2 linked regions of the Struthio camelus genome follow. The protein of the gene in region 1 purifies or fractionates together with the protein of each later gene. This does not show direct contact. Links are inferred from orthologs where the notes say so. Each region holds a gene or a part of one and is shown in the gene's direction. Other genes may lie near its edges. The genes, in order: POMP and PSMG2.

The links.
Region 2: the proteins of POMP (region 1) and PSMG2 purify together in Homo sapiens (co-immunoprecipitation; 6 studies listed by BioGRID and IntAct, counting the BioPlex papers as one, with this or other methods). This does not show direct contact. The link is inferred for Struthio camelus from reciprocal best matches to the Homo sapiens genes POMP and PSMG2.

What each region holds. Positions count from the first base shown.
Region 1 is NC_090942.1:200,245,665-200,258,174, reverse strand, and holds the start of POMP (proteasome maturation protein), read left to right. Parts: upstream 1-6,007; 5' UTR 6,008-6,138; coding exon 6,139-6,141; intron 6,142-7,605; coding exon 7,606-7,703; intron 7,704-8,588; coding exon 8,589-8,649; intron 8,650-10,865; coding exon 10,866-10,967; intron 10,968-12,510. UniProt on the Homo sapiens protein: Molecular chaperone essential for the assembly of standard proteasomes and immunoproteasomes. Degraded after completion of proteasome maturation. Mediates the association of 20S preproteasome with the endoplasmic reticulum.
Region 2 is NC_090943.1:113,581,729-113,594,161, reverse strand, and holds the start of PSMG2 (proteasome assembly chaperone 2), read left to right. Parts: upstream 1-6,386; 5' UTR 6,387-6,554; coding exon 6,555-6,629; intron 6,630-8,070; coding exon 8,071-8,242; intron 8,243-9,070; coding exon 9,071-9,129; intron 9,130-10,078; coding exon 10,079-10,197; intron 10,198-11,506; coding exon 11,507-11,680; intron 11,681-12,433. Other genes in the region: CEP76 (centrosomal protein of 76 kDa), read right to left, coding at 255-352, 2,075-2,260, 3,369-3,593, 3,964-4,045, 4,370-4,525, 6,213-6,275. UniProt on the Homo sapiens protein: Chaperone protein which promotes assembly of the 20S proteasome as part of a heterodimer with PSMG1.

The sequences.
Region 1 (12,510 bases):
AGGTCACTCTGAATCCAGCTTACAATATTCCTTTACAAAAATAGACTTTCTAATTTCTTCTGAGACTAAAAAAAATAAAAAATAAAAATCTAATTTATATCGCTAGGATTTACTGATAGTTTAAATAACATCTATTAAAAAGCAACATCTCCTCCTGATCTATCTAATTATTCATCTCAATAATTTAAAATTCAAATGCTGCAATTTTCGGAGATACTTGATGCAAAATAGAGAATTTGCCTGATGGTATTATCTTACTTTGTTTCCTTTCTTCTCAATTTCACTTCAACATGTTAAATAATAAAACCTCCACAACGTTGTAATGACATGTGCTGAAATAACTCTGTGCAGATAAACTTACACGGGCTATCTGAGGCGGCGTTCTTTTTCGAGTAAGTATAGAGCTGCCACTTTTTAAATTCACTGACAGTTTCTGTCACAGGCACTTCCTACTGATGCTATGTAAGCTGAATAGGAAATCTCTCACTGTAAAACAATGTTCTAGCAGCACACTTTTAGCATCTTCCAACAACAAATCTGAACACAAACACAATTTAAGTTGTTAATATAACAAATACAACAAACAAAAGTAATTCATTCCAGAAAGCAGATAGCTGTACAGCCTCAGAATTAAGAGACGCAATACAAAGAGCAAAAAAGTCCAACCAATTGTGTTGAAAACATACAGTTAGGAAGTATGAACAAAATCATCCATGGAAAATGTACAATCATAGTTTCCAGAAAAAGAAATAAAAATAGAATTCTAAATACATTATTCTCTGCATAGAAACGATTTATTAACTGTCAACACCCTTTACAATGCAATGGCTTTGAATTTAGCAAAAGTTCTTCCCGGAGAAACACTATAATAATTCTTCTGTACAAAAATGACATTGTTGTTTCACCTGAGTCTTGATTCAGTGAAGTCCACTCAGTTGGAGCATTGCACCTGTGTGGAACCCTGTGAACTTTAGGACAGCTCTCCACAAGTGCCAGGGTCTGCACACAGGCTGCTTACTGGAAGCTACAACTTCTGTTTATGTATACGCAAACAAACTGTGATTTTCTATCAGAAGTGAGTCATCAAACTCAGACCTAAGTCCAAGCTTGGCCAAAATTCAGGAGGCTCTAAACCCACTTCTGCTTCTGCTGGCTAAAACGAGGCGCTTTGGCTCACATCCTGAAGCGTTCAACGCAGAATTACCTTGGAAGATTTGAGCCTTAACTGTTTCTAAACCAGCCATCACCATTCTATCTATGTGACTAATTATAGCGTTCTTAAGAAGCACATTGTGGCTGGATCAGAAGCTTCGCCACTCTTTTGTTTTCAAAATGATAGAAAAAGAACGTGGAGAAATTTTTCTGTTGACAGTTTCTTACGGTGAAAAGAAACACTATTTTTAATGATACCTACGTTTATGTGGAAAACGTCTTCAGCTGTAAGAAGTTAAGGTGACTTCTAATTATCTTGCTGTTTAATGGATATGGCTATGACTCAGAGGAGTCTCAGACTCCCCTCTTGCTGTCAGGCATTTTGGCAAGCTCTTGGGGGATTTTTTCCCTGCACAGTAGCAGGAATGGGAAGTAATGTTCCATTCAAGTCTTTCAGCTGTGACTACTATTAATTGCTTTCAAGGTTTCCCTTAGGAAGATACTCTCACAGGAAATGTGCTTAGTCTCACCTATATGTGCAGGATGGTTATGCTTCTGGGAGGCCAGTCACTCTCTCCAAACTCAGAGAAAAGACAAAAATATCCTTCTCTGAATTCTCATTCTCGGCATTGCCTGTGAGCAGTGAGGTCCTGACTACACGAACATTAGCTAGGTAAAACATGCGACTTGGGCTGAAGAAGTAATTTAAGATGAATATTGCTACACGGGTGTAATACAGCATATTGAAAGTAGATGATTCAGACTATTAATAGAGAAATACTCCCACCAGCATTCTCCTGGTTACTGCATGTGCAGCTTTAGCTTTGCATATACCTTTTTCTTTTTTTATCCTTTGACCCTATTTTTGCCGATCCTCCGAGTGAAGAGTAAAACTACTCTAACTGTGCCACAAGCATCTAATGCCCAGCTAGACTGACCAGAGGCGGCTGGCAAGTGGCGAGGAGGCAGGGGCGGCGCAGCGAGCTTGGCTACCGAGCAGCCCCTAGTGACCGGCTCTCCCCGTTGCAGCCTCCTGCCTTCCCGGCTCCGCAGAAGGAGCACGGAAAACAGAAGCCCAGATTTCTTAGAGTCTGTGCAGGGGACTGCTACAAACAAAGAGGAAAGATTACGGATGCCAGTCACAGACTTACAAAAGCACTGACAAGCTATGAAATAAGTTATCGCTTCAAGACGACAAGGGCCTCTTTCCAAGTACCTTACCTGACTTAGAAAAAAAATTGGCAGTCCTTGTTTCATCTTCCGAAACAGCAACTGAAGACATTTTAGAAAAGACATTACTGTCTCATTTAAAATTCACTAATAATTCATAAATCAAATGATGGAACAAGGGAACGTTGGTATTACTTACCCACGGGTAGCTACAAGCACATTAGTTTTACCTTTCATAGAGAGGTGATAATGGACCTTTTTTGCCATATATTGGACTGTTTGCTGGATTTGAAGGATGAGGATGAGCACGTTTTGACCCAAAAAATCCAGCAAGCTGTGGATTTGCTAATAAACAAACAGGAAAAAATCATCTGCTTTGGCAATAAGTGAGATTCTTTTTTTTTTTTTCCTCTGCAACAGTAACTTTTTTTCTAAATACTTTCACCAGTTTCAGGAAAGGGTGGGTTAGAGTCAGGGGTTTCCTGAGGCTTTTCAGAACATGGTTTTAACGTAGCCATGTGTTTAGAAGAGCCCCTAGAGAGTCTTGTTTTGGAACACTCTGACGCCTACACATTATTATCTTTGCTACGTTTTGCAGTTTTGTGTGAAATTTATTTTTAATCTTTAACAAAACATGCTCTTGTTTATCTTAAATTCAGAAAAGGTTTAATAATTTAAAACAAAATAACTTTTAAAATAATTAGATTTACAATGAATACTGAAACATAAAAGTATAAAGCAAGTTAACAAGAAAGGGCTTCTTAAAGATCAAAGAAAATGTGTTTATTTGATTTGATTAAAACAAATAAAAAGTACTTTCACTTTAACAGGTTATAACTGGCTGTTGACAGAAACCAGTGAAAGAGTTTCCCAGCCCCACAGGATAAAGGTTTGCTTCTGGTAGAGGTTCACGTACTCAGAACAGACTGCCCACTGATATGGCAAAGGAATTATATTTTGAAAAGCGACAAAGCTACATCAGTATTCGTAAATGTTGACACAAAGACAAGTTTCCTTGGACAATATACTCCTTTTGCTATTATTAAATAGGACCCATGGTGTTAAAAAATGGGTATTTCTCTCTCTTCCATCTATTGATTTTAATATATAAAAAAGTTCCAAGAATGGGAGAGGTAAAAGTACCGTTTAATTCAGTGGAGAAGCTGGACATACTAGCTCAAAATTACGGAGCAGTAGAGTCCCTAGAGTAGAGCTGGCTTCCCTAGATCCTGGGCAGAGCAGGCCTGGATGTGCCGGCCTCTGCCCAGCCAGCCGGGCCTCTGTCAGCATGAGCTTCCAGTCCACCTGGAAAGTCGCTGCCACAGACTTCAGCGGCAAAAGTACAGACCCCTCATGACATGATGCCGTGCTGGCACCCAGGCAAGAAAAAGCTAAGCAATCGAGGCTGGAATGCATGTTAAGTCAGGCTGGCTAAACCCTTGTTTAACGAGGTTTTATGTTTGTTAATGCCAATTGAATTGCCGAAAGGGTATTTGAAACAAGTGTGTATTTTTAAAGAGTCAACACTTTCCTCATTTCTAAAACATACAAGAGTTCATGGTCTATATATCTCTTGAAATCTCAGTGAAGTCCCTCAGCTAAACCAAAGAGACCAGATTTGACATTCCAAAAATGCTGAGGTAAGAAACATGCAGAAAGAAATTTAAAACATGCATACATTTTGGGCCTTCTTTATGTAAAATGTTGAAAGGAAAACCTTTTATTCCTAAAAAACCCAATAATTTTAAGGTTGTCTTTAAAAGCAACATGTGAAATTCACCGCCAAAACTTTACTAGGGTAATAATTTTAGAGCAGTAGCAGTAATTTTCACACTAATTTTAGGGTGTGCATACGGTCTAAAAGAAAACCTCTTCAGCAGCCACAATCATTGCATCCCACTTTCCGTCTTGTTACCAGCAGCCTGGAAGATGTTCTCAGAGAGACTGCCCGGGTCCGCAGGGCAGCAGGCCAGCTCAGGAAAGGGTAGCCATACCCATTGCTTCTCAGTAACTGCAGCGCTCATGGCTCACCACAGGTTCTCATTTCTGATAAAAAGTTTGATCAGCCTGACAACTGCTCCTATCATTCCTATTAACGTGCAGTGGAGACACAGATACGGTCATAGGAACGAGAGATATTACAGTCATCCAGTACTAAGATATTCACTGTAAGATCGTTAAAACAGGCTGTGCAAGAAATCCAACTTTGCTCATATTTAAAACAGTTGGTAATTTGATGAGAAAACATATCTGTGATTTGTGTTTATGTCTGGGAGTTTTCCCTAGCGTGAAAGTCTGTCTTTAAAGGAAAACCAGATCTTTCTCGCAATGTGCATTCTTTTATGTTAGTTATGCAGCCTAAACTATGGATTGCAGTGATGTCAATAATGGTACATGGAGTGATTGTATCCTGTCTGTGTCCTGCAAGAATGACTTTGAAAGTTAGATGTTTCATCTCCGCAGTCATATCCTGATCAACAAACTCAGTCAATAAATAAATACATTTAGTGACAAACCTAGCTTTTCTGTAAGCTGCAGTTAAAACAGGAAGTTGATTTGTTTTTTGTATTCACATCTATTCTATAATAATGAACCCAGCACCACAATATCCGAGTACCCATTATAATTACAAGATCAGAGAAGCCTTTGTGGTACCCATTTTCCTAAAAATAATTTTAAAACCCAGTCTTACATTTTTATTCTTTTGAAGTCTTTGCTTTAAACCGAAGACCTTCACGTAAAGGGCCGTAGCTTCAGTTCGGAAAGATTTTTGAACTGGTGACCTGATTCTGCTGAAGAAAGAGGATAACAATAAAAGGGTATGAATTTCTCTGTAATTAAATATTATCCAAAGCTGAGTGTGCTATCAATACATATATATATATATATATATATATAAAACTCCCATGTTAATATCACTTTTTCTACAGTACGTAGTGTTCATTTTAACTGCCATGTATGAAATTCGTAGCAGCAGGGCAATCTGGGGCAAAATGTGAAACGTGCTGAGCAAACCACAAGTCTCAGAAGACATATGTGAGAGATATGCTCGATGCACATCTGGAGCAGCGCAGCAAAATCTGTGGCAAATTTTCTAACGATGGTTGGAAAGTCTTCCAAAATTATTTAAGTACGCAGTTCCTGCGTTGTTACTGTTGCTGCTGTGAACCTTTCCAAAGATAAACTTGCCGTGGGCCGGTCCTTGCCGGTCACCGGCAGAGGACCAAGTCCCTGGCAAAACAGGGCGCCACAAGAGCCGTCTGCGCAGAGGGAGATCTCTCAGGGGCCGGCACACAGCCTAAGGCCGCGTTCAGCTCGGGGAGCGCGGCTCCTTCCCTCCCTCTCTCGAGCCACCAGCGCGGTGACGCTGTGGGGGTCACTCAGGCGCCTCCCCTGGCTGGCACCACCTGCCCGCCATCTGCTGAGGGGCGACAAGCTTGGCCACAGAAAAGCGCAAGGCGACAGCCCCCCATCAACCAGCGCCGCCACACAGCTAGGGCGGGCAGCCAGGCGCCAGCGGAGGGGACTTCGGGTGGCATCAAAAATGCTGTTTTTTGACGGCCAGCGTCAAACGGGCGCGGGAAGCCCCGCAGACCCCGGGCAAGGCCCTGCCAGGCGCCGGCCCCTCGCGCTTCCCGCCGCCAACCGCCACCGCGGGGCAGCCGCCGCCCCGCCCCTCCCCGCCAGGCCCCGCCTCTCCCCGAGCCAGCGCTGGCTGGGGCGGCCGCCGCTCCTTGCGCGTGACGCAACGCGCCGGGGGAGGGGCGGAAGTGAGGAGGCGGGGGAGGCGGAAGCGGAAGCGGGTGTCGGGCCAAGATGGTGAGTGAGGGGTCGGTTGTGCTGCTCGCGCCGGGGTGGCGGGGGGAGGCGCGCGCCTGCTCCCTCCCCTCCTCCCCGCGCCCCCGCCGCGGCCGTTGGGTCCCAACGGTCGGCGGGGCGGCGGCCGCCGCGCGCCGCCTTGGGGCGGGGGGCGCCGCGCTGTGCTGAGTCACTGGGGGCCGGCGCGGCCATGGCGGGCACGCGTCCTGCCAGGCGGCGGCCCGCCCAGGGCGGTGTCCCCGGCTGGGAAGGCGCCCGGGACCGCTTGGTTGTGGTTTAAAGCCCCTCTTCTGGGAGCTGGGGAGGGAGAGGGAGGCCAAGGCCGCCGGTGGTGCCGGCACTGCGGGAGCCCGGGGCTGGAGGGGCGAGCGGCAGGCGGGGTGGCGGAGTTCGCGCCTCCAGCCTTCGTGGTGTTTACCGGGGGTGGGGCCGCCTGAGCCGGACTGGTCGCTGGCGTGATTTGAGGGGTTCGCTTTTTGGAAGTACTTCCCGGGTTTCTGCTTTCTTTTTACTTTCTTTCACTTCGATCCTCCTAAACCTTTGCCCCTCTTGTTATACCTTTTAGGTAATAGTCTTTTTTACGTGTTTTTGTTTGCAGCAATCTCAGATCAGATCACTATTGAGTACATTAATTCGTAGATGCTTTAGACACAGTAGAAGACATTTTAGGATTTTCTGATAGCCTTTAGGTTACTGACAGTCACAATGGTAGTATATTGTTTCAAGAGACTTAACTGTGAGCATGTGTTTTCTCTTGGACCCAACAAAACTGATGGAAGAAACACCTGTGCTGAGCAGTTCCTTGCTGTCACCATCCGGAGATTGTTACTAATTGATCTGTTGATGGATTAGTTTGTGTCAACAGTCCTAAAAATCCTTCAATGTCATCAGCTGTTGTAGCTTTAAATCGCTGATGCGGGTTAAGATGGTTTTACTTACTAAGTCCATGGAGATGTGTCTTATCTGGTCGTCTGCTGCAAGTTGCCATTTCTTCTTTGCTCTTCCAGTTAACTGATGTAATAGAATGGATGAATACATCTTATTCTCTTTAGGACAACCTTAAATGGTAGATAAAACCAGTTTGGTTGCAATTGATTGTTTCTGTACTAGCATGATTGAAGGAATACTGAGACGTGTCCCATCAGCTGGGCAGTGACCTGACTTCTCCCCACCCATCGCTGCAGCACAGGGTTGGGAATGAACAAGGGTAATTATGGTTTTTAACTGCTTTAGCCAGCTCCCAGAAATGTTTAAGTATCATCAGACTCTGAAAGCATTCTAACCTAGTGATTTTTTCCCCATCACTCCACCCAAAGCAACTCTGAAGGCTAAGACTTGTGCCTGAGTAGTTTGAGGAGTTTTTGAACTATTTAGTAAAAAGTTGGTAGAATCTTCGTAATTTTCATTTGTTTAGGGGCAAATGGGGCCTGGTTCTGTAAAAGTAATCGTCACTCTTTGTTCCAGAATTCCAGAGGAGCTACTTCTCTGTTGAAGGATAGTATCCCGATTACTGAATTTTCACCTGCTGGACCATTTGGAGGTCATGATCTTCTGCGTAGAGGGTGTGCTTTATTGTTTCTTCTCAAATTGTGCAGTAGTTGATGTGAAGCTTAAAATATATGAAAAAACATATTAAATATTTGTGGTTTTGAAGAAGTTCTTTGTAGATGTATCTCTTAACCTGTGGCTAAAGCACCTGTTTTCAGTCAGATTGTCATTCAAGCTTTAATTTTCTGTGAAACATCACTTCCAGAAGTAGATAATGTTAATGGACTTAGACCCATTTGATGCTCCTTTTTAGAGAATAATGACAAAGTCTTAATCATTATGAAATATGTGCTAGTTTATATATATATGTATGTGTGAATGTGCCATAGAACTGCACAAAATGATTGATTTTGAGATTGGTACAGAAAGTAAATTTTATAAAAATAGTATTTCTTATTAACAATTCATGTGAGTGGCAAAACCATGTACATGTATTGGGTATTGAATCTGCAACAACTTCATGGAGTTTAAAATGCAGGTGAAACAGCTATGGGGAGAAAGTATGTGCAGTATTTAGTCTGAAGAAATTTAGAAAAAATTGAGACTCTTCTACATTAACTGCACACCTACTTAGTTTATTGATATGTTTCTCTATTTCTGAAGCGGGTCAAGGAGAAAAAATTATCATTCCTTTATATCAAATATAAAACTGAAGGAAAAGAAGATGCCTGAGAATCTTATACAAGGTTTTGGTTTTTTTTTCCTTCTGACAATGCTATAATTAAGAATTCATTTCTGCTTCTTCGCCACTAAGCATCATTTTTGAATAGCTGAAATTATGCTAATCTCATGTCTCTGTGGATTGATGTTTATATCTGGAATTAGTATTGCACTGCAACTTAAAGAATGGTGTTCTGATTAATTTTCTGTTAATTACATTGTTTTGTCTACATTTTTAGCTTTACAAGCGTGAAAAATGAATTGTTGCCCAGCCATCCACTGGAGTTGTCAGAAAAAAATGCAAGTATAACATCAAATGTAGTCATCCTCACTCTTAACTAATTAGGAAGTTTAATTTAACAGTATGGTTACCTGCACTGCTTTGTGCAGCAGCCAGGAATGAGTAAGGTCCTGTTTTTAATTAAATAAAAATGTTCGACAGCAATAACATTTTATTTATGCCAGTAATATTCTTGCCAAATTTGTTTAACATGTAACTTCCCACTTGTGTGTCTCTCCACTTCAAGTATCTAAGCGGACTTCCAAGTTGGGCTTTATTTCAATAACTTTCATTTCAGAAAACTTTTTAAATTAAAAGTTGGTAAGTTAGTTCTGTACGCAGCCTCTATTGTTAGTGGGGAGAGAGAGGGACACCTGCCACCTACAGAAGGCTGTTCTTCCTATTTTGTCTTTGTTTACCATATGTCTTCATTTTCATACTTTCAGTTTGTGAACGAATAAATATGTTTTAGTGAATTGCTCAAGCCCATTTACAAATTCTCCACAAACAGATTGTTCTCAGCGTATGCAGTCTTGTCCAACTTCGTCATCTCTCGTGGACTGCTTAGGAATGGTCTGTGGACCATAGGTTAAAGGTTTCCATTGCCATGAAGGGAACTTGGATTCATAGCCTTGGCTAAATAACTGGTTAGGCTGAATCTCATCTCTGGTGCCTGTTTTGTCAGCACAGAAGCTTTTGATACAGTTTGGTGTCCTGAAGCAAGTGCAGTATTTGAACATAATGTTCCAAAATACTAGGCTAACCATTATGATGATGTCAAACTTTAATGTACTCTAGGCAGTGCTAATGTTGTCACCAGTTAAAAGAATGATATTAATGTGATATCAGCTTCAAGAGTGTAGTTTTAATTGTGTATTATAATTGTTTCAGGGTCATCTGACAATTGTTTGTTTTGTTTTATTTTTTTCCCCCACTGACTGCTTAATTTAATTTTTATAACTGCTTTTGCCATATGAAACCTACATAAGATTGTGTGCTAGCGAAACAAAATGCACAAAAAAAATAAAAACAGATGACATGGGCCCCTAAGAAGTATATGGAATCTTTAAGTTGTTTTTTTCCATGTATTATTTTTGGATTTTTTTCTGGAAACTTATGGCGGATTTCTCTAATAAATATTTTTCACTTACATTTGAATGGAAAAAGACTTTCTTAAGCCTGGAATAGTTGTGGATGGTTTTACTGCTATAAATGTAGGTAGGCTGTTCAGGTAGCATGAGCAGAAACCAAATCTTTTTTCTACCCATTTAAGCACCCTCTACTTCTAATTAAAAAGAAAAAAAAAAAGTGACCGAAATTATAAGTTTGGGATGAGGAGTATAACTAGTATTTTCAGTTAACTTTTAAAGAAAATTCAATATGGATTAATCTCAAGAAAAGTGCATGTTATGCCATTGATTTTTGTATTCCTTTTGGTTCCTGAGATCGCTTAGCATAAATATGATGATAATCTCACACCAGTAGAATTTTTCACAGTCTTTATGAGTACAGCTTTTAAAATAAGGAGGTTTTTTTTTGGTTGGTTGGTTTGTTTTACTTTACAGTAGTGTCTTAGAGGCATGTAGTTAGTAACATAAAAGCCAAAGCTGAGATGATTACTCAAGCTTTGGCAATATTGAGCATAAGTGTTGCGTCTGTGTGTGTGTGTGCTGGATTCATGATCCAGCATTTTTTTCATTGTTAGAACTTGCTACTAAATGGATATGTGCATGTTCTTCATGTTATTTATTGGTTTTAGAGCAGCTGGTAAGATAAGAGCTATCTTTTGTTTTCCTGAGTCATGCAGAGTGTATGTGATGCTCTATTTTTCTGCGTGATCAGAAAAGATATATTTCGAATGTTCTAAACTACAGTCTTCAGTGACTAAAAATAATATAAATTGTTGCTTTCTGCTTTGTTTTTACTTTATTACAGTATTAGCACAAAAATAGGAAGTTAAGCTTGGTTTAAAGTAGTACACAACTAAACCAGTTGGTGGGGTTGCATGTTCTAATTGTCAAAAAGAAAAAAAAATGAAATTGCTACTTTTAATTTATAATAAAAGCAATCTAGTTGAGTGCAGTTTCAGTGACTTAAACACTTACGACTGTATCACTGAATTTTTACTTCTAAATTTCAGTGAGCATATTTATCTAAGCAGGATGTCGCAATCTCTTCTATGACCGTACTTGAAAGTAGCTCTTATTTAAAAAAAAAAAATTGTTCTTTGTGATAGTTCCAGTTGAATCAAGATAAAACAAACTTTTCCACACTGAGAAATATTCAAGGACTCCATGCACCTTTAAAGCTGCAGATGGAATTCAGAGCAGTGAAACAGGTAGGCGTTTTTATCAAACTGGTATAATTTAAATCACTGGAAGGAATTTTTATCTGGATAAATAAGCTTTTGGAAAGCCATATTTCTCTATTAAAGTACAACAGTCTTCTCTTTCAAAGAGAAACTTTTACACTGAACTGGTGTTATTAACAAAAAACTGACCTAAACATTGCAATTCATAATTTCCAGAACAGTCAATATCCTAAAACCTTTCAGTTGCTGTTGTTTTAGTGATTACTTGGTGAAATGAAAAGCATATCAGGTTTTATGTGTGGACTAACTTCCTGCAAGCCTTGGGAGAAAAGCAGGAGAATTCAGTATTAATTCCTAAAATTTGAACTCTCCTCGGTGGAACACATGAGCTTTATGAGAAGAAATCTTTGCGTCTGCAGGGAAAAGAGACGTAAAGGTCTAAAGCAGGTAGTGATTTGGGAGCGGACATCAAGGTAGTTTGCAACATGAAACAGAATTTTCTCTGTCCTTCTTATTCCACGGCCTTGTAAGATCAGGGGAGCTCTTTGGTGAGCTAGCTGCAAAGGTTTTAGCTTTATTTGGGAAGCTGAGTCTCCCTTCTTTCCCATCTTATCTCCTGTGATAGAGAGGAGCTGGAGGCTGACTTTGTCCCTTAGAAGCGTAGAAAATTCATTGGTCCTAGTAAACTATTGTGAGTTGGGGTTCTTGGTTAGTTGGTTTTTGGTTGGTTGGGATTTTGTTCTGTTTTTTTGCTTGCTGAAGGTTGTGAAGTCAATTAAAGATTTCTCTTCCAAGTGGGTTGGAGCAGTTATATGTTCCCTTCCAGTGGATCGTGTTTCTGGTGAGCCACAGTAAGCTGCATAAAACTTGGTAGAAATTTCTTCTTTTGAAGATGCAAAAGGCAGACAGGAGATACGAAAACATCCCTTGATCTCAGCAGTGCTGTCTTGTGAGGAAAGACCTTTTTCCTAACAGAAGCTAGCACGTGGCAGAAAATGGGGCAGGTGAGGACAAAGATCCTGCTAGAGTGCCTTCTTGACAGGCACTCTACAGTGTACAGGCATTCTTGAGCAGGGAAAAGATCTGGTGATCAGAAGATTGTTCACTCCAGGCTTTTGTCTTTCATGTTAGATATACAAGCTATCTTGTGGTTTAATTTCACCTTTCCAAAATGAAGGGGAATACTGTATGTACTGGAACCTCTCACCCTTGTACCAGTAGCTGTAGTTACCTGCAAACTATTTTGTGCGTGAAGAGAACAGCTACGGGATACTTGCATTTGTAAAATGCATTCATAATATAACTGGAGTTTCACTATCAGTAGTGAATGCAGTTGTGAATTGAGATAAGCCATGCTGTGTGGTAATACTAAGGGGGGAGGTTGCAGAAAACAAACAGAAAAACACCTACATTTCTTAATAACTACAGTGAAAGCTGCAAATATAGTAGGTTTTAATATAAGTGTGTGCCAGTAGCCTTCTTATTTTTATCATTATTTTCAAAGGAAGAAGTAACTTTGCCTGTTACTTTTGACAGTCACTTGAGACTGAGAAATCCAAATATAAAAAAA
Region 2 (12,433 bases), on another chromosome or scaffold:
TATTTTTCTTCTTAAGGTTTTGATAAAGGTAATTTGAAAACTGCTACAGTAATATTTCACATAATGATCAGTATATAAAAATAGTTTAAGAAAATGTAATTATAATGTAATCAAATTAAAAACAATTAATACGAGACATTCAAAAACCTCACCGGCATTAACATCTACGTGAGTAATTCTATACTGAGTTTTTCCCTCTCCCCCTGCCCATATAAAACAAAACAAAAAAGTCAGCCCACCCAGAAATCACTTACTTGAGTATTAGTGATTTCTGGAGACAGCATCTTATTTAGCTGTGGATACATTTCAAGCCTGATGTTTAAAACACCGACAGAAACCTTTGATTCTGTACCTTAGAATCAAAATACATTTTGATTAGTCTTTTCAAAATCTTTTTACTTACAACATTCCAGCCATACAGGAACAAGAAGTACAAAAAATAATGCCTTTCAACATATGCAAAATAAGTATCTTTATTTAAATGTCACACTAGAATGAGCCAAATGACACTGAAAGAAAGGGTAATCAGACTGAAAAGAGAGGTATCTACATCTTAGACAATTATCCAAGTTCCATTTACAGCCAACACCAGGATATATGATGAGTAGCGTTCTAGATGTGCCTAGAATAGGTACCTAAAATAGATCAGGTGAATCACACTGAAAAAGTGCCTGTTTCTACTGACCACACAGGTAGATCAGACGTAGGCAGTTAAAACTGAGTTAAGTTAATCTTCCCTGAGATACATTGTATTATGAAGGACCCAGTACGCTATAATAATACATTAGTCAAAAAAACAAAAACACTATTGCTGCATAAAGCTCAACATTTAGAATTAGATAAACAGTAAGAAGAAAAAAAAAATCAGAGAGATGGGATTATAAGTAATACGAGTAACAGAAGCCTCATATAGGAGTTTGTCTATCTGAGATGACAGTATCTTTCCATATTATTGACGTATTTTGTACAATGACAAGACTTCGGAAGAGAAAAAGCACTGGATTTAGATATTGTTTCTTCATTATTCAGAAGAATTAACAGTAATTAGACTTAACTTCCCCTTCTCCCCCAAGTATCATGCTCAAATTATTTTGTATGCATTTCCAAATAATTATAGACGAAAACCTCTCTACTTGAAAGCCTACCCAAAGCCGTATTACTTAGTACGCTTTGTCAACAGTCAGCATATCCAAAAGTAACTAATGCTGATAAAAAAAATATTAGTAAATAAGGTTACTAGATTTGTGTCCAGTGGATAAACACTGCACTAAACCATCCCCCAAAAAGCAGGTAATAGAGATAAAATTTAGGAATAACTTACATAGTAAATCAAATTTTCAAAATACTTTGCAGATATAATATCTTATGAAATTAGAAAGGACTGCTTGCCTAACAGGTCGAGAAACTGTGATAAAGAACGCTCAAATGGCTCATCAACTACTACTTGCCAAGCCTCTGGGAGAGCTAGAGTAGGAAGTCATAATAGATTTAGCCCTGTATCTAGTCTTTATCTACTAAATCATAATATCCTGGAAACTCCTAAAGGGCCATATGCAGAAGCAATACATAAAAATACACATGTATACTGACTGTGAAGCACTTAAACAAAGCTGGTCCTCCATTCTAGCAGAAACGTGTTTCCAGCAACCAGAACAAATGGCAGCACAGCAGAGAAAACTTCATCTACCAGCTGCTACTTTGCTGTGAAAGGGACACACTAGATTTTACTCTTCAGTACACTAGCCTGAGATTTTCATGGATATTAATCAGTTGAATGCGGGGAAGAGGCAGGAAGCTTTGATAACTTATGCAGATTTTGCAAAAAACACATAGTGGAGAGTTCCCATCTGACAAGGGGACCACTATGACAGAGGGTCTAGAATACACACTTTTAGTATCTTGATAACAGTGAAAAATCTGACCATTGGTCTCCTATATAAATGTTTTCTAAAGATACCTTATATCAATTCATGAGTCTAACCATAATTAAACTGCATACTGCTTTGACCTTATAAGCAAGCTCAATAGCCAATATTTTAAGTGTTTGCATTTTACCCTTATTGTGTATTCTTACCTACACCAAGGAGTTCAACTGCAACATTTGTTACACCGTTCTCTGCAGCCAAGACAGATCGCCACTCCAAGAAATAGGATGCTACTAGTGTAGTCTCACCAAATGTGTCTGTTTTGATCAGAACCATATGCACTGGATCCGATATTGATAACATAGTGGTTGCATCCACCATTTTACTTCCATCACCTGCCATCATTAAACACAGACAGCCAGAATGTTACCATCCCAATACCGCCTTAAAATTAAAGCATATGCATTTACATTCCTTGCATACATTACCTTTTAAGAAAAGTGTAAGCAACAACAATCCCACCTTAAACCAAAATAAGATTAGGACAGAGCTACAGAAAGATTACAACTGATTAATTGACAGAGGCAATAAACAGATTTCTATATTTGCCTACTCCAGGGTAACTCATTTAATTGTACAAAAATTAAAATTGAAATATTATTAAAAAATAAGAAAGTTATTTTTATGTACTAATAAGTAAAAGCAACTGCAGATGCGTGCGTTATTATTTTAATAAGTGGTAACACTTCAGGTCAACTTACTATGCATCCATATTTAGGAAGCAGCTTCCTCTGTAGTTAAGCTCTGACCCTACGAGATAAACTGTTCCATGAGCAGCAGAATTAACAAAGCCTGGTCTTCTCCGAATTCGCAGTATATTCACTCTCTCTCACACAGAGGCCTGCTATAACTCTAGCCTTCTTTCTGTCCTCTGACACTCCATGACCTACCCTGAATTTCTACAGGATTCAGACAGTATCAGCCTCCTCTTCCTTTATCCCAGTACCTTAAGATTCCCCTGTTTATTCCAGAAACCGTTTTTTAAAACACACATAGCTCCCTACTATGTTCCCCAGCTAATAACAGGACAAAGACAGTATAGGCTGTGGATAACTGACTGTTCTGCAGGTGTTTGCCAACTAGCAGGCAGACTAAACTCACGCAGAAGCTTTTCCCTCCATACGATAAAAAAAAGGTCTCCTTTCTTCACTTCTCAGCACAAGGTTCAGGAAAACATGAATCTACCATCTTTGGCACTACTATCTCACTGTTACATCTGGATAAAGTCGGTTAAAAGTTACTTTGGAGTGGAAAAGAAGGAAAATAATAGGTAAGAATCAGTTCTAGATCTAGAAGTAGCGGAACCTGATACAGCAATTGTTTTTCTTAGGAATACATTATAAAAACAGGCAAAAAACATTAAATAATATCAAGCACATTTTAGAATAACTGTAATGTTAGAATAAAAAACGGCATCCACTGCAAACTCACAGTCTTCCTTACCCAGGCTATCCTTGTGTACTTCAAGTAAAAAACCATCATGAAAATCTGGCTCACAGGCACAGGGGACAGGTTTAGAACGGAAGCGCTGATTCCGAAAATGCAAACACAGAGTGAAGGTAGAACAGATTTGGCCAGGCAAAGGCTCCGGTTCCTGAAGATGTTCCAGAAAAGCTTTTCCGCCCAAAACCTGAAGGTAAAGATACCTCCGTGTTGGGTTAATATTAGCTGTAAAGCGTAGCAATAAATATGAAGAAACTACAAACAGATCTTAGGAAGTATGTTTAAAATATCTGTTATCTAAGTGGAGAATAGAAAAAAAAAAAAACTCTTTCAAAACAAGTGCTTAGGGGAAAGCAATTTTAAAACTTATGGAAGATAATATACAATAAATGCTATTTTATGTGCAACTAACTTCTGCTGTTTATATGAACCCACTTGCATCTAGACAAGTAAGAAAAACATCTATTTCTGCACAATATGGAAACTTTAAATGAATCCAATTCGCTCTGTAATATTAATTCAAAGAGCTCAATAAACCTGCACTTAATTTATTTTAAAACTATAATCCAAACATTAAAATAAACAAGCAACATACCTTTTTTCAGAACTGGTGGTTCTCTGTCAACAAAATGCGTAGATGGCTTTGGAGCTGAAGTCCTCTCCTTGTCATTCACTTCCTGGAATTGCAATTAGACTTCTTAAAGAATCAAGTGAGGCAACAGTGCTATTCCTGTTGTCTCTTAAAAATTAAAAGAATTCTCTCTTTCTACTGACTGTTGTTTCTCAAATATATTGCCTTGTAGGATTTAAGATGTAAGGGAACTGAACAAGTACTTTCAGTGTAATATTAACACTAAACCAACTCAGTACTTACAACTCAGTAAAGCTAATATAAGCACTTAGAAGTAATTGAGTCTGCACTTTATAGTAAAAGAGCTGTCATAACATCAAGTCGATAATAGGAATAACCAAAATACATTCATGTTTCAAAAGCTACTTACAGTTACAAATTTAAGCTCTTTAATAACATCATCAATGATTCCTCGCTGTCTTAAGGCTTTTATCAGGTCTTCCGTGGATAACTGTTGATGCTCAGGTGCAAACTCTTCACGTATAGTCTCAGCAAGAACTTCTCTGATCTTGCCATGAACATCCATCTGAACAGAAAATTCATCATATGCTAGAAATACATGTTCAAACTCTCATAAGCTTTGTAAATAATACTTCTTAATAACCCCCACAGTATTTAAATTCGCACTCAGCTGTATCACAGCAGAATGCAAGACTGGTCTCTTCAAACTTATTTTCATTTTCCTCCTTGATTGAGGCTTAAGTATGATAATAAGAATAAAAGAAATGAAGCTCCTTATATGGTCACAGTTAGCACTAAAACGTTTCTCTGTAAGGTAACGGGTATTCTCCTAGGAATACAGAGATAACTGCACCAAAAGAATACCTCTTTCTGCACATAAATGTGTACCAAACAACTTTTTATTGTTTAGTGAGAAGTACCGCAGCAAGTCACACTATCTCACCAAAGCAACTGCACCAGTTAAGAGCATTCCAAACCTGAGCATTTCCACTGCTTGTGACAGCATCCCCAGCCTCGAACATCCCTTCTCACCAACAGCCCTGCAAATCCATTGATTATAAAACTTCCATGCTTTTAATTTCTCTTCTCCCTCAAAATTCAAACTTATGGCAATGTGTGTATGGGAAATAAACTGAATGTTTTTGATCAGGTACATCCACCGTCCTATCAGCCCTGATGAGCCTCCACTAGCTGAACAGCCCAAGCCACTGTATCCTTATCGCACCATAGGATGTGTCTTCAACCATCAAAAGTTCTTTGGAAACTGTCAGCCCTCTGATGCTGTGGAGGTCTGCGTGTTTGACCTGCAAGATGAATCTAAATGGAAACCCATGAGCGGAGAAGCAATAAAATCTGTGTGTTCCCCTGGAACAATATCTTCAATTCCTCCTTTTCCTCCTCTTACTTTTTACAGAAAGGAAAAAAAAAACTTTAGATTGTTGCAGGTAAGGCATACAAATAGGGAGCCTCCATCGCAAGCTTTTTCTATGATCATAAAGCCAGAATTTCTGTACTTCGATGGCTCAGCTGTGAAACAGCATGTATTCCTAAAGTTGTTTCTCCCACAGGAACGATGCAAGGCTATAGCCACTGAGACACTGCGATACTTCCGCGATGCGAGCTAAAGCACTGATATTTCTCTCCCACTGTTTTCAAAACCCCGCCCTAGTTTCTCGCTCAACAAGCGGCGAGCAAACAGACGGCCTCCCGGTGCCTCCGGCCGCCGTGGCTCCCCCCCTCCCCCCGCCGCCTCCTCTCACAGGGCCGAAAACGCCGCTCCCCTCCGCCGGCCCTCCACGGGGCAGCCCCGACAGCGGGAGCGCCAGCACCGGGGGGGGGGGGGCGATGCCAGCTCCATCGCCCAGAAAAGGGGAAACGAAGGGAAAGAGCGAGGACGGCAGGAGAGGGCGGGGAAAGGCCGGAGGCCAAGGCGGCCGTTAGACCAGAGCGCTGATCCTCGCAGGCCCTCTTGGGGGGAGGGGGGGGGCCGCAAGCGCCAACATGGCAAAACAGCACCTCGGGAAGTACATGAACCTGCTGAAGTACGGGGGGGGGGGGAACAAAAGGGATGGGCGAGGGAGCGGACACGGAGCTGGAGGCGCCTCCCCCGCCTGGGCGGGCATCGCTGCCTCCAAGGGCCGGGGGGTCCCTATCACCGACGCACCGGGGATTTCTCCGAGTAGACGAAGTCGCTCCGCGCTCAGGACGGGCCCCAGTGCCCGGGGGCCTCTCCACCTTGTTACCGCCCTCACCTTGACCAGCTGCTGGTGGATGAGCTGCTTCAGCTCCGAGGCCTTCTCCGGCGGTAGCGACATGGCGGCGGGACGAGCCGCGACGCCCCGCACTCCGGCAAAGGGGCGGGGGGTGGAAGACCAGGCCGCCGGCCTGCGCGCCGCGGGCTAAGCCCCGCCCCCAACCGCCTTTCTAACGGCCGCCGCGGCGGGCCCGGCCCCGCCCCCTCGCGGGCGGAGCAGCGAGGGCGGCGGCGGTTACGGCCGTTGCGTTGGCGGCCGTGCTCGCCCACTCGCCTCACCGGGGGAGGGGGGGAGCCTGAGGTAGGAGGAGGGGGGCGGCTCTTTTCTCTTCCTGCCGGCATGTTTGTTCCGTGTGACCATGGCAGCGGCGGCCCCTCCGCCAGCTCGGACTTTGACGGCTTCACTCTGCTCGTGGTAAGTGGCCTTGCTGCTCCCCTCCTCTCGCCGAGGCGGCCGTGGGGAGGTGCTGCCAGAATGGAGCGCTCCGGGGCGGGGGTGAGGGACGTGCTGCTGCTCGAGGCCGTGGCTCTCGGGGCGGGGGGGGGGCTTCCTACAGCTGGGGCCTGAAACAGCGTCGGAGGCTTTGGCGGGCGCGGACGGGGGCTTGTCCGCGCGGCTCGCTCCCGCTTTGGGGGCGGCAGGCCGGGGACGCTTTCCTCTCCCCTGTCCGGAGGTCGGCCCCGGAAACTTCTCAACGGCCTGGGGGGAAGGGGGGAGAGAGGCTATGTACACTAGTCTTCAGTGGCAGATTCCTTAGCTGTGCTATATTTAAGCTGAGCTTGGAATTGGTTTAGAAAATACTTTAATAATTTGTAACGTGAAATCGATGTAAGATTAAACTGCTAGAGGTTACTTTGTGTATTGTAGGGTACGAATTCTAGTACAGGCTGTGAAGTAGCAAGCCGTTATTTTTCCTATTAGTAAGTGCCTTTACTTTATCATCTAAGGGTAACCTTATCGCCTTTCATCAGGGCCAGATCGCCCCTGATGACTGTGCATATTTACATGAGGTACAAGATTTTATACAGGAAGTCATTCCAGATCAGCTGACTGGGAACAGGAAATAGGTCATTGCTATTTTCTTTGTCTAGGAATAACAAGCTGTTGAGCACCAGGCAATTTGTAATGACGGTCTGTAACTGCTGTTACATCCTTTTTCGCTCTGAGGTTATCGGCATCAAATTCCTTGTGTTTCCAGGATTGCTGGCCCTTGGGCAGCAGCAGTTCATAGGCACGGGCTTGCTTATAAATGAGTGGGAGGCAACTGAAAATTTTACAGTTGTCTTCCATTTTCAGCTTCTGTAGAAGGACACAAACTCGCAAACTGAATTTTTCCTTGTATGCTCTCAGATTGGGTCAGCATCAGCTTTGATTGGTGATAACATATGCTAATTTACTTGTGTTTTTAGGACAATCTGGTATTTATAGATTTAACGTGCAGTATCGGCATTGCCATTCACTGTCACTTTGGGGCTGCCAATCTCTGCATTAGATTTTGGAGTGATTTTTATCTACTCTGTAGCCAAAAAAGGGGGGATTGGGGAGGACACGAGGACACCAGTCTCCAAGCCTTTTTTTTTTTTTAAGTTTATAATGAGACAGGATTATTGACAGAAGCAACCAGTATGTATTTGTGGCATAGGGACCACATTATATATTAGTAAGCTGTTAACAAGTAGTAACTTCTGTAAGAAAATGGTGCCACTTTAAGAAATCATATGGTTAACCGGAATTCAGCTAACTTAAGTTTTCACTGTTTGCAAAAGCATGCTGTATTGTCCATAAAACACGCTGCAATTCTTTAAGTGAATTATGTCTTTACTATTGTAATGCTAAAACACTTCTGTTACTTCAGCCAGCAGTGTCAGTGGGAAATGTTGGTCAACTGGCAATAGACCTCGTGATTTCCACACTGGACATGACTAAAGTTGGCTACTTCTACACTGATTGCCTTGTGCCAATGGTTGGGAATAATCCATATGCAACTGCAGAAGAAAACTCAACGGAGCTGAGTATAAATGCTGAAGGTATGTATTGAATGCAAGCTAGATCTTAAATATTTGCCTGTAGAAAGCAGTTGTAAGAATGTTTCTCCTTTTTTTTCTTACCTTTTAGATGAAGTTCAATAATAACTTTTGTAACCAAATCTCTGACTCGCAGATAAGAATGTAAATTTACACTTTGTGGAGGAAACTTACTTTTGTTATTTTGCATAAATAGTTTGAAACATGGAACCGGTAAGAAATGTTGAATCTCAACCATATTACAGTGCTGCTGAATCTCTCTGCAGTTTTAATCCTAGATAATGTGGAAAGTGTGTCCATACCTACAGTAAAGCATGGCATGCAAGCTAAATTAGAGTATAAAAGGATATTCGTCCTGTCTTCTTCCTTCCCACCTATCTTTGCCTTTTCCTAGTGTGGAGGGTTTTTTTTTTTCTTTTTTCTACCTTCAAGTTTTCACTTCCTTTCTGTGTCTTGATCATAGCATTTCAAATTATATTGTTTTTTCCTTTTAAATCATGGAAATCTCGAGATAATCTGTCGTAATCTCTGCAAAGCTGTATAAAGAGTTTATCTGAGTCACTGCAGGAGATAGTTTTTGTTTTGTTTTTAATAAATTTTTACTTCATTCAATCCTTTGTTTTTATGCCAAGTGAAATTAGATTCAGTGAAGATGATGCACAAAAATACGTATTTTTTTACATTACTGAAAAGCCTGAAATAATTCACAATTTGGTAAGAGAGCTGAAAGGTTTACCTCAGATTTATGGATTGGATAAATCTGGATACTTCTAAGCTCAGATCCTTTTTTTTTTTTTTTTTGTTATGCACTGTTTTATTTTCTCCTTGTAGTGTATTCATTACCTTCAAGGAAACTTGTAGTTCTGCAGATCAGATCACCTTTTATAAAGGTACGTATGTTCATTGTTCTCACTTCAGTGTTCAAGTTCAGTTGTTCTACTGGCCAGTAGTTTTCAAATGGTCTAGAAGAATTTACTCTATTATAATATCTTAAAATAAGCACAACTGAAAAAATTCGTGCTCCCTATTATGAAATAATGTCTTAACAGCAAAATATACATTTTAAAAAAAAAGCAAAATGTTTTTCTGCTTAGTGATATAACGTCTTCCGTAATTGATAAAATTTTAGCTAACAAAAGCTGTCTCCTACATTCATTAATGGTTGAGATTTGTTTGTTTGCTTGTTTGTTTCAAGCTCTGAAACAGCTCAGCTAATTCAGTAGAATTTAGTGAAAATATGTCCTTAGTTATTAACTGTCTTGACAAAACAATATGGTCTGTTTCCCGCCTGTTTATTTTTCTCTTCATATTTATTGTTTTTGTGTATTTGTCTTTTCTTAAATAGCTTAATTTTTGCTGTCACCCCCATTTATTTCCTGCTGTTCTCTATTCATTATATATAAACAGTTAAAATTAACTGTTAACTGTATAGTGGCTGTGATTTAAAATGGGCAGAACACCACACGAGAGTAAATTGTGTTGTAGTATTTTTGGCAGTTTAAATTGTGGGAAAATACTGTGGAATTTTATCATCCCATATTGTTCTAAAGGTTTTCCCGTTGATATTAATGGCACACAGAATGAGTGATACAGTTATTATTAATGTGGTTTTCATAATTTTTATAATTATACATATATCTTTGATTAAGTAAACAACCAGTGTCCTCTGCTTTTTAAAAATATATCTGAAGACTGAATGGATATGAAGAAAAAAAAATTTCCTCACTGCTGAACACTAAATATAACATCTAGTATTGTAGACTTGTGGCTTTTCTTAAGGGCATGAATTTTTTTTTTTTTTTTTGGTCTCTCCTCCCCCCCCTCTCTCTTTGCGTAAAGAACAAGTACAGGCCATTCTGTCAAGCACTGCTTTCTTGGGTGCAAACCAGCAAATGTGCTAGAGTTATTCTTCTGTCTAGCAGCCATGCATACCAGCGCGATGATGAGCAACTTCTTGGGTATGTGTGTGTCCTTAAATGATTTGATTGTTTTTTCTGTTATTTTTGGCAAACTGGCATATATACTTAGTACTTTTTGGCAGGGTTCTTTTGCTTTACTGTGTAGGTAGATCATAAGATACTTAATATATTATTAAAATAGTGTGTTATACAGCATTAGGCTCTGAGCTTTGTTAGTCTCCTGACAATGCTGAGCAAATAATATGCCATAAGTAAATTTCTGCTTGGCCTGCACCATCAGCCTCGATTTTAACAACTTAGTTTGTTATTGCTGCAAGCGCTGTCAGGGATTAGCTGCTAACATACAGCTCACCGATTAGATTTTTAACGTTTAGTTAGAATATTTGAATTTCTTACCGCTTCTTAATTATTCTGCATTTTGGGTTTTCTTTTTTTAGTAAGGTATCTTTTTATAGGCAGTTACCAATACTTACCTGCTAGGAAAAAACTACACAGAGTTTTATTAGGTGTGCCTCCCCCCCCACCCGTTAAACAAAAGAAAAAGCATAGCTTGATGATCGAGGCCTTGATAATCTATGACTTACCAAAAAAAAAAAAAAAAAAGTATTGTTCAAAATGAACAACTCTTATCACCAGGGTGTATAAATGTTCAGAGCCCTGAGGAGGTCTAGGTCTATGCATGTTCTAGATATAGTTACCATTGATTTTGCATAGAGTTTCTAGAGTGGTCAGCAGACATGGACTGAAATGAGGGAGACTGATGGTTACTTTATGTATTCCGAGTTCATCAGTTGTGGTGACTTACTCTGAATAAGTCTGATACCAGAGAGACACTAATGAGTGAAGGTAATGCATTAAGGAAATACTGAAAGACTTAACAGAAGTCTGCAGATATTTGTAGTTTAAGTTTATTACAAACATTATATCAAAGTGAAGCCCAAGCTTACTTTAACTAACTTTAATTGAATAAATTCCCATCGGAAGGAAGAATAGCCACCATTTCTTTTGTAAATCATTTTAAGAAGCCTATAACAGTTCTCCTATTTAAGTGCTTGTATATTTGATACCCTCTTTTTAGATGCCCAAATTGGCACGTATCTTGAATACTCAGGGGGAAAAATAATGGCTGAGCTTTTTTAATGCTTCTGATGCAGTGGTGATTTCTGAAGGAAGAAATTTATCTAACTTGCTTCAGATTCAAGTGTATTTTTGCAAAATGTATCATTTGGTTATATGTGTGGCAGAAAGTTGAACAGTACTTGATGCATGCAGCTCCTTTCCACCGCAAGTAATAACATCTATGTTGTCTTGTTTTCTCACACTGAACGTATTCTTGATTTGTTCCTAGAACTCCTCTACGCTACCTACTCACACCTGCTCTTGAGAAATCGGTGGAAGGCCTTATGCAAGGGTTAAAATGGAAAGAAATGGAAAAAGTAGCAGCTTACCCTGGAATAAGTGATACAGAGAAAGTTCTACATATACCAGGAGGTGGCATCACAAAACTATTGTTTACTGAGTGGTGAGTGAGCTGCATACAGAAACATATGTCTTGTTTTTAGTACATAGGTGAAATTGTTTTTTTAAGCTACTGATTCACTGGTAGGAGGCATAGGTGGATTTTGTAACATCGTCTCTCTTAGAAATACTTCCAAGCTCTGTTTTGCTTGTCTTTATGTTTATCCATTCAAGTGGAAGACTTGCTTTTAAACGGTGTGTCACACATTTTTATTTGCTGCTGTTTAAGTCTAGAGCTGCATCCCAAGTATCTCTTTATTCTGCCTCTTTTTGGTAACTTCTTCCATTTATTTGAAGTATCTTCATTTGATGATTAGAATGTTATTGTGTAGGTCATATTTTGATTTTTCAAAAAGATTTGGGCAAAAAATGTTCAGAAGCATTGGTTTTGGTTGAATGAGTTAGGTTGATGGGCACATGCTTTGATTTACTAATACTGCAAACTCATGGATTTCCTTCTTCTTCCCCCTCTCCGCTGGCCTTTTGAGGTAAACTGCACCTTTTCATTTGCTTTCAGATTGGGATAAACTTAAAATGTTCCATCTGAGATTAAAGCCTTTTAATTATGTCAAATCAGGTGTATTTAAGAATCCATGTGTTAAGCTTGATTATCTAATGTATTAGCCCTCCCTTCACTGACCAGTTAGATTCTAACTTACTTTTTTTTGTCCCTCTTTTTTTCTTTCCCTGTATTAATAACTATAATTATCAGTGAACTTCTTCAGCTTCTAAGTATCAGCTGTCTTCTACTCTGCCT